Linked DNA regions of Canis lupus familiaris. The protein of the gene in region 2 interacts with the protein of the main gene of each other region in a biochemical or structural test. Links are inferred from orthologs where the notes say so. Each region holds a gene or a part of one and is shown on either strand. Other genes may lie near its edges.

Evidence for each region. The genes of interacting proteins can lie anywhere in the genome.
Region 1: the proteins of PLG (region 2) and THBS1 form a complex in vitro, tested with the Homo sapiens proteins (2 studies listed by BioGRID). The link is inferred for Canis lupus familiaris from reciprocal best matches to the Homo sapiens genes PLG and THBS1.

What each region holds. Positions count from the first base shown.
Region 1 is NC_049251.1:7,054,110-7,058,040, forward strand, and holds the start of THBS1 (thrombospondin-1), read left to right. Parts: upstream 1-1,131; 5' UTR 1,132-1,215; intron 1,216-1,709; 5' UTR 1,710-1,738; coding exon 1,739-1,805; intron 1,806-2,059; coding exon 2,060-2,619; intron 2,620-3,526; coding exon 3,527-3,602; intron 3,603-3,909; coding exon 3,910-3,931. UniProt on the Homo sapiens protein: Adhesive glycoprotein that mediates cell-to-cell and cell-to-matrix interactions.
Region 2 is NC_049222.1:50,062,226-50,065,725, reverse strand, and holds part of PLG (plasminogen precursor), read left to right. Parts: intron 1-1,369; coding exon 1,370-1,551; intron 1,552-3,333; coding exon 3,334-3,482; intron 3,483-3,500. UniProt on the Homo sapiens protein: Plasmin dissolves the fibrin of blood clots and acts as a proteolytic factor in a variety of other processes including embryonic development, tissue remodeling, tumor invasion, and inflammation. In ovulation, weakens the walls of the Graafian follicle.

The DNA.
Region 1 (3,931 bases), on a different chromosome or scaffold from region 2:
CCTGCCTGTGGCTGAGCTCCTTATTTGGTAAAGCTCCTACCTGCGTCCTGTGTCTCCGTCCGGGCCAGCCCGATGGCGCAGGACACAGCGGGGGAAGTGTGGCTGCTGACATCCCAGCCCTAAGAGATGAATGGAATTCCAGGCAGCTGGAGTCATGCTGGCTTGAGACAGTGGTTTGGAGACCAGACTTCCAATGACAGAAGCATTGAGCCGCCGCGCTCGTGGTAGTTGGTGCACCCACAGAAATGTAACCCACCCCTCGGTTTCGGGAGCTAAAAAAATGAAAAGAACGTTGAGGGAGGCAAAAAGGAAATAAGATGATAGGTGGAGGGTAATTTATTACTTGATGGGCCTGTTCTGTGAATAGTCTAAGACCCCAGAGCCAGATGCTTCCGCAAGTCCTCCAACCAGGAGTCACGTTAAGAAGCACGAGTGGGCACAGAAACTGTTTTTCAAGCCGCAAAGCCCGTTTTGGCTGCAGGGAGGTTCTAGGAGGCCGTTCCCTCCGGGGTCGCGGCCAGCAGGCGGCGGCCGGCGCGGGCCCCTCCATCCGAGTGCAAGACCGCCCCCAAGCGGCCAGCCGCGGAGGCGCCGTGCAGCGCGGGGGGCGGCGGCGGGGCCCTGGGCGCCCGGCGGCGGGGCCGCGAGCGGCGATCGCCCGCCGGGCGGAGGGAGGAGGGTCGCCCCGGCCGGAGCCCCAGCGGGTCCCATTTACCCCCGACGGGATCGTTGGGCTTCACCGACGGGCTCGGTCCCCGAGCGTCAGCCGCGGCCCAGGTGTTCCGGGAGACGGCTCTGCCCCAAAGTCCCGCCCCCGCCCCCGCCCCCGCCCGGGGGCTAAGGCCGGTGCCGGCTCCCGGGGCTCCCTCCCGCCTCCCGCGGCCCGAGCGCCGAGCGCCCGCGCGTCCAGGCGGCGTGGGCGGGCTCCTGGGGCAGGGACTCCGCCGCCCCCGCCCCCGCCCCCGCCCCCGCCCGCTCGCGCTACTCCGGCTGGAAAGGGAGGCTGCGGCGGCGGGGGGCGGAGACAGGGGCCCAGCCTGCCCCCCTCCCGCGGGCCCCGCCGCCTCCCATTGGCCGGAGGCAACCCCAGGAATGTGCGCGCGCCCTTAAAGGCGCACCGCCCCGCCGCCCCGCCAGCCACTGCCTCGAGCGGCCTCCCGCCCCGCGCCTCTCCGGACTCGGCGCCGCCCCGGCCCGCTGCACCCGAGCGCACAGGTGAGGCGCCCCGCTCAGCCGCCCTGAGCCCGAGGCTTCGGCCCTCGGGGAGCCCGGGTCTCCCGGTGCCCGCCGCCCCGCGCCCCCGGGCTCCCCCCTCCGGCCGTGGGGTTCACACACCAGCTCGTCAGGACCCCCCAGGACTTTCTTTCTCCCCACACCTCTCTCTGAGCCGTCGGGAGGGGAGTCTCGACTTCCCCGTGCCTCCCCGCGCCCCCAGACCGCATCTCCTGCCCCCCCTCGACTTCCCCAGCCAGAGCCCCCAGGTTGCTGGTCTTTGCCCCAGCGCCACCCGCCCCCGACTTTAAAACCCGTCTCCCCCCCTCACTCTTTCTTCCTGATGCCCCGTCCAAAGTGAGTACTGTTGCCCCTCGTTCCGGCAGACGTGAGGCCAGAGGGGGATCCGCCAGGGCCCTGGCCCCAAGCCCGGCGCCCGGTTGTGCCCGCTCTCCCTGCGCGGCCGCTCTGACCCCGGGGTCTGCTTCCCGCTACAGGCTCCCGGCTGGGCACGAGCGGCTCCACCATGGGGCTGGCCTGGGCACTCGGCGTCCTGTTCCTGTTGCGTGTGTGCGCCTCCAGCCGCCTTCCAGGTGAGTCTAGGTAACACCTTCTGAGCGGGGAGGGCAGATGAGGAGGTGCCGGTTACCCCGAGGACACCCCCTCCCGTGCTCTCTTGTGCCAGCCTTCCCCCGGCGCCCTCGGGGACCATCAGCAGGCAGCTTCCCCCGACCACAGTGCGGATTCAGTTCTTCCAGTGGTTGCCCAGTTCTTGCCCTGCCCTTTTGCCCCGCACCCCCGGCCTCAGCCTAGTTGGCTCACTGTGTGCCCTGCTCCTGTTGAACAGAGTCTGGGGGAGACAACAGCGTGTTCGACATCTTTGAACTCACGGGGGCTGCCCGGAGGGGCTCTGGGCGCCGGCTGGTGAAGGGTCCTGACCCCTCCAGCCCAGCTTTCCGCATCGAGGATGCCAACCTGATCCCCCCCGTGCCTGATGACAAGTTCCAAGACCTAGTGGATGCTGTGCGCGCAGAGAAAGGCTTCCTTCTCCTGGCCTCCCTGAGGCAGATGAAGAAGACCCGAGGCACGCTGCTGGCCATAGAACGGAAAGACCACTCTGGCCAGGTCTTCAGCGTGGTCTCCAACGGCAGAGCCGGCACCCTGGACCTGAGCCTGACCGTGCAGGGCATGCAACACGTGGTGTCGGTGGAAGAAGCGCTGCTGGCCACCGGCCAGTGGAAGAGCATCACCCTGTTCGTGCAGGAGGACAGGGCCCAGCTGTACATTGACTGTGAGAAGATGGAGAACGCCGAGCTGGATGTCCCCATCCAGAGCATCTTCACCAGGGACCTGGCCAGCGTGGCCAGACTCCGCATCGCGAAAGGAGGGGTCAACGACAACTTCCAGGTGAGGCCTCTCCTCCCGTTCGTGGGGTCGGCTGCTGACCTGTCAGGAGGGCTGTAGCGGGGGAGGCAGGGATTTCCAGTACAGGAGATCCCGCCTTTGGACCAGAGCCGTGCTTCCCACGCCTCCAGGGGCACCAGAATCACCTGCAGGGCTCGGTGAAACGCGCGCTGCACCGCATCCCCAGAGGTTCAGATTCCGTGCCCCTGGGATGGGGCCTGATCATTTGCGTTTCTAACAAATTCCAGGTGAAGCTGGGGCTTCACAAGCTGTTGGGGCCTGTGTTCTGGGCGTGCCGTACTTTGAAGACCGCTAAAGGAAACAAGTAGTTTTCCTATAAGCACCTGTTCAAGTCCTAAATACTCCTTATGCTCTCCTCAAGAAAAGAGCTTTTTTCAGATCGTTCTGCCAATTGTGATGTAGCTTGAAATGGATACGGAGAGCAGAATAAATACCACTTTGCCATTTGATTCCTCATGGGGTTGGAGCCAGTCTCAGGAGCCGGTCCCCAAAGGTTAAAATAGTGGCTATTTGCGGCTGCGGCTTCCTCCTTGCCTGGATGTCTAGGTTTTTGCCACTGTGGCTTTGAAACTCCCACATCTAGCTCTTTGACACTGGAGAGTGTCATTAAATCCTCTGTCCTTAGTATCCGATCCCATTTCCTGTGTACCCAAGTAGGCAGATAACGGATTTCTTTGTAAAGTACTCAAGACTTGGCGGACAACCCAATTAAGATTGTGAAGTTGTTTGGCAGTTGACGTTGGTGTGTTATTTTGACGTGGTGATCTTCAAAGGGAGCTCTTTTAAAATTTTAGAACTTCTGTTGTGCGCTTTTCCTGGAATAAACTGCACCCCCACCCCCACCCCCACCCCCACCACTCTACAAGTAATGTGTGTCCTCTGCCCCCAGGGGGTGCTGCAGAACGTGAGGTTTGTCTTTGGAACCACACCAGAAGCCATTCTCAGAAACAAAGGCTGTTCCAGTTGTGAGTACTCTTCTATTTTTTTTTTGGGGGGGGGGGGGTGTCATATGAGGACATTCAGGAGAGTCCACCTAAAACAAGCTGAGAACCTTAGGGAGTGGTAGTCATGCATAAATTACCCCAGGTAACCCCAAGTGACTTCAGAGTAATCCACACACATGCACCTGCTCCTTGTGTATCCTTCACCCCAGGTGTCCTATCTTTACAATTAGGAACTGTGGGGGCGGGGGAGGGAGAGACTGGCTTGTGAGAGCAGCTGTGTGAAGATCTGCCAATACTTTTCTCATCGTACTCCTTTCTTTCTTGGCAGCGACCAACGTCCTCCTCACCCT
Region 2 (3,500 bases):
TAAAACCAAAGCTGAACTATGAAGCTTCCAGGCAAAAACATAAAAGAATATTTTCATAGCCTTCAGGAAGGCAAAAATTTTTAGACAAGACCTAAAAGATGGAATAAAAGGAAAAACATGTCTAATCTGGACTTTAACAAAATGAATACTCCTGCTCACCAAAAGTCACTATTAAAAAAAATGGATATGTCACAGACTGGGAGAAAAATATACTCAATGCATATATTTGACATGGCTTACATCCAGATATATAAATATTTTTCCTACCTAATAAAAATGGACAGAACTTCCTCTGGCATTCCACAGGGAAGATATACAAGTGGCCATTAAGTACCTAAAAAAATTCTCAATATCTTAGCCATCAAGGAGATAAGTTATAACCACAATAGCCCATTGGCAGTGCCTGCCATTAGAACGACAGACGATAAGTGATGCCAAGATCATAGAACAACCACCCCCCTCCTCCGTGCTGTGTGGAGTATGAAATGTACAATTATTTTTTAAAAAAATATTTTATTCATTCATAAGAGACCCAGAGAGAGAGGCAGAGACACAGGCAGAGGGAGAAGCAGCCTCCCAGCAGGGAGCCCAATGTGGGACTCGATCCCGGATCCCGGGATCACGCCCTGAGCCACCCAGGTGTCCCAGTGCACAGCGTTTTAGCAACACTGTGAGTCAGTGGACAGAGGGTACTGGCCAAAGAGTGTCCTCATGATGTCATCCCTCGGGGAAATAAGTTTTAGTTTCAACTTATACAGCTCTATGTGTTCCTACAGAGGGATACAGACACAGTTGTACACGCATAGGAAATCATCCTAATAACGTGAGCTTTAAATACAGTATTGGTTATCTCTGGGAGATGTACGACCCCTGCCCGTGGAAAGGAAGACATTTGAGTACTTTCATTTATACACATATATTATTTCAGTTTTTAAAAAATATTTTATTTATTTATTCATGAGAGACACAGAGAGAGAGAGAGAGGCAGAGACACAGGCAGAGGGAGAAGCAGGCTCCGTGCAGGGAGCCCGACGTGGGACTCGATCCTGGGTCTCCAGGATCACGCCCTGGGCCAAAGGCGGCGCTAAACTGCTGAGCCACCAGGCTGCCCTATTTCAATTTTTATATGGAGCACATATTACATTTGATTTTTGAGATAAAAATTGTAATCGATGTTTTCAGTGCGCCCAGTTGTTCGGAAGTTGAGAGCCATCTGTTTGTCGCATTATAATAATAACTGGTACGTGCAGTATCTTTAATGGAAATGTTTCAAAGTCACTGATTAGCACTCTATTATGACAAAAGGCTGAGGGTGCGGGGTGCCCTGAAAGATTCTCCACCCTCCTGACCTGTGTTGTGGAATTTACAGTGGCCTGACGATGAACTACTGCAGGAACCCCGACGCCGACAAAAGCCCTTGGTGTTACACCACCGACCCCTCTGTGCGCTGGGAGTTCTGTAACTTGAGAAAATGCTTAGACCCGGAGGCGAGCGCCACCAACTCCCCTGCTGTGCCCCAAGTTCCCAGCGGACAGGAGCCTTCTGCATCAGGTGGGATGTCTGTGCCCAGGCCTCTGGCCACCTGGGCACCGGGATGATAAGAGGAGGCCCGTCTAACGGAGGCAGAGCGCTTCATTGCTCCAGGGAACCGAGCGCAGCCCAGGGTCTGCCAAGTGGAGGCCAGCCTGGCGTGGCATCCGGGATCGGGGCGGCCAGAGCCGCTATTGCTGGTGTAACGTGGGCGGGCTGTGTTTTTAGGACTTGAAAACCAAGTGGTTTGGAGGGATGGATAAAATTCGAGCCTGCGTGGATTGAGAGGTGGAGGATGGCAGCGCCGGCTGCAATGGTACCTGCTAGAACACCAAATCCTTGCCTCCCCCACGGAGACATGGAAATGATTAATTTTTTTTAAAGATTTTACTTATTTATTCATGATAGACACAGAGAGAGAGAGACACACACACACACACAGAGAGAGAGAGAGAGAGAGGCAGAGACACAGGCAGAGGGAGAAGCAGGCTCCATGCAGGGAACCTGACGTGCGGCTCGATCCCTGGTCTCCAGGATCAGGCCCTGGGCCAAAGGCAGGGGCTAAACCACTGCGCCACCCAGGGATCCCGATTAACTTGGTTTTGAACAGACTGAACTGGGAGTGCTCGCAGGACAGTCAAGCCCGGCTCTCCAGCACGAACCTGGCAAAGCCGATACGTGGCTTGCAGGGTCACTGAGCACAGAGATGGAGGCAGGAAATAATCACAGCCTTCTGTGCTTCCCTGGCCCTCGGGGAGCCGCTCTGAGCGCTTAGCACCTGCTTCCGTGCTTGTCTTACCCCCGGCCCCAGCATGAAAACTCCGGCTCCGTGACTTGCCTGGTCACTTTCAGATAATTCAAAAGTCCTGCAGATAGGTGGGGGTTAAAACGAGAACTTTGGTTTGAAGTTGGCACCCCTCTCTGTCCTGAGTGGGCTTGGCTGCTCTGCAGAGGAGAACCTGGCCCAGTCTTCCTTGAACAGGCTGGTACCTCTCTCTTCCCTCTCTCTTGGTGATGCTTCGGGCTCCATGCCCATCTGGGTGTCCCTCGTGGGTGAGTCTTGAGACGGTCTACCATGGTTCCCCCAGGTGCCTTCCCCCCATCTGGTGCTTGGGTAACTCCCTTACCCCGGTCCTGGCAAACATCGGGCTTGCAGACCACGGGCAGAGAAGCTAGCTGGCCCAGCTTCTGCATTTTGGATTTTTCAAGTGGCCATCAGAGCACTGGTGCCCTGGGTCCCCTTATGGGACATGCATCATGATCTCCGAGGGTTTTTGTGGAAGCCTCTTTTCCCTAGGCTCGAGACAAGGGATGGGCTTGGAGGAGGAGCCCCAAGCCGTCTGCGGATAAAGCCCTTCATGCCAAAGGATGGGAACTCACAGCCCAACTCTAGCCAAAATAGTATCTTGGATAAAAATCCTTTCCAATTTGCACTCTTTTTTTTTTTTTTTTTTAACCCAGCCTTGAGAACCAGGTGTTTGAGGGTCATCTGACAGTTCACCGCAGCATCTGCTTTATGCGAATCTTCTGGGTGCTGTCTCACCACTCAGCTTATTATAAAATTGACTCACTTAGTGTCCTGGCCAAAATTCCCACGCTAACATTTTGGCTTCTGATTATTTCCCAGGCGTTTTTAGTAACCTGGTAAAATAGGCAGTGTTCGCTGTAATTGTCAGCATTCCAGCGCCTTAGTGATGTGACCACAGAATCTGTCATTAGAGAGTCCTGGCACGATGGCCTATCTTCCCTACCATCCTGGGTCTGGGCAGTAACACATAACCGCCCATTTCCTCTTCCTTACAGACTGCATGTTTGGGAACGGCAAAGGATACCGGGGCAAGAAGGCAACCACTGTGATGGGCATCCCATGCCAGGAGTGGGCTGCCCAGGAGCCCCACAGACACAGTATTTTCACTCCAGAGACAAATCCACAGGCTGGTCTGGAAAAAAACGTAAGCCACTTTGATTTG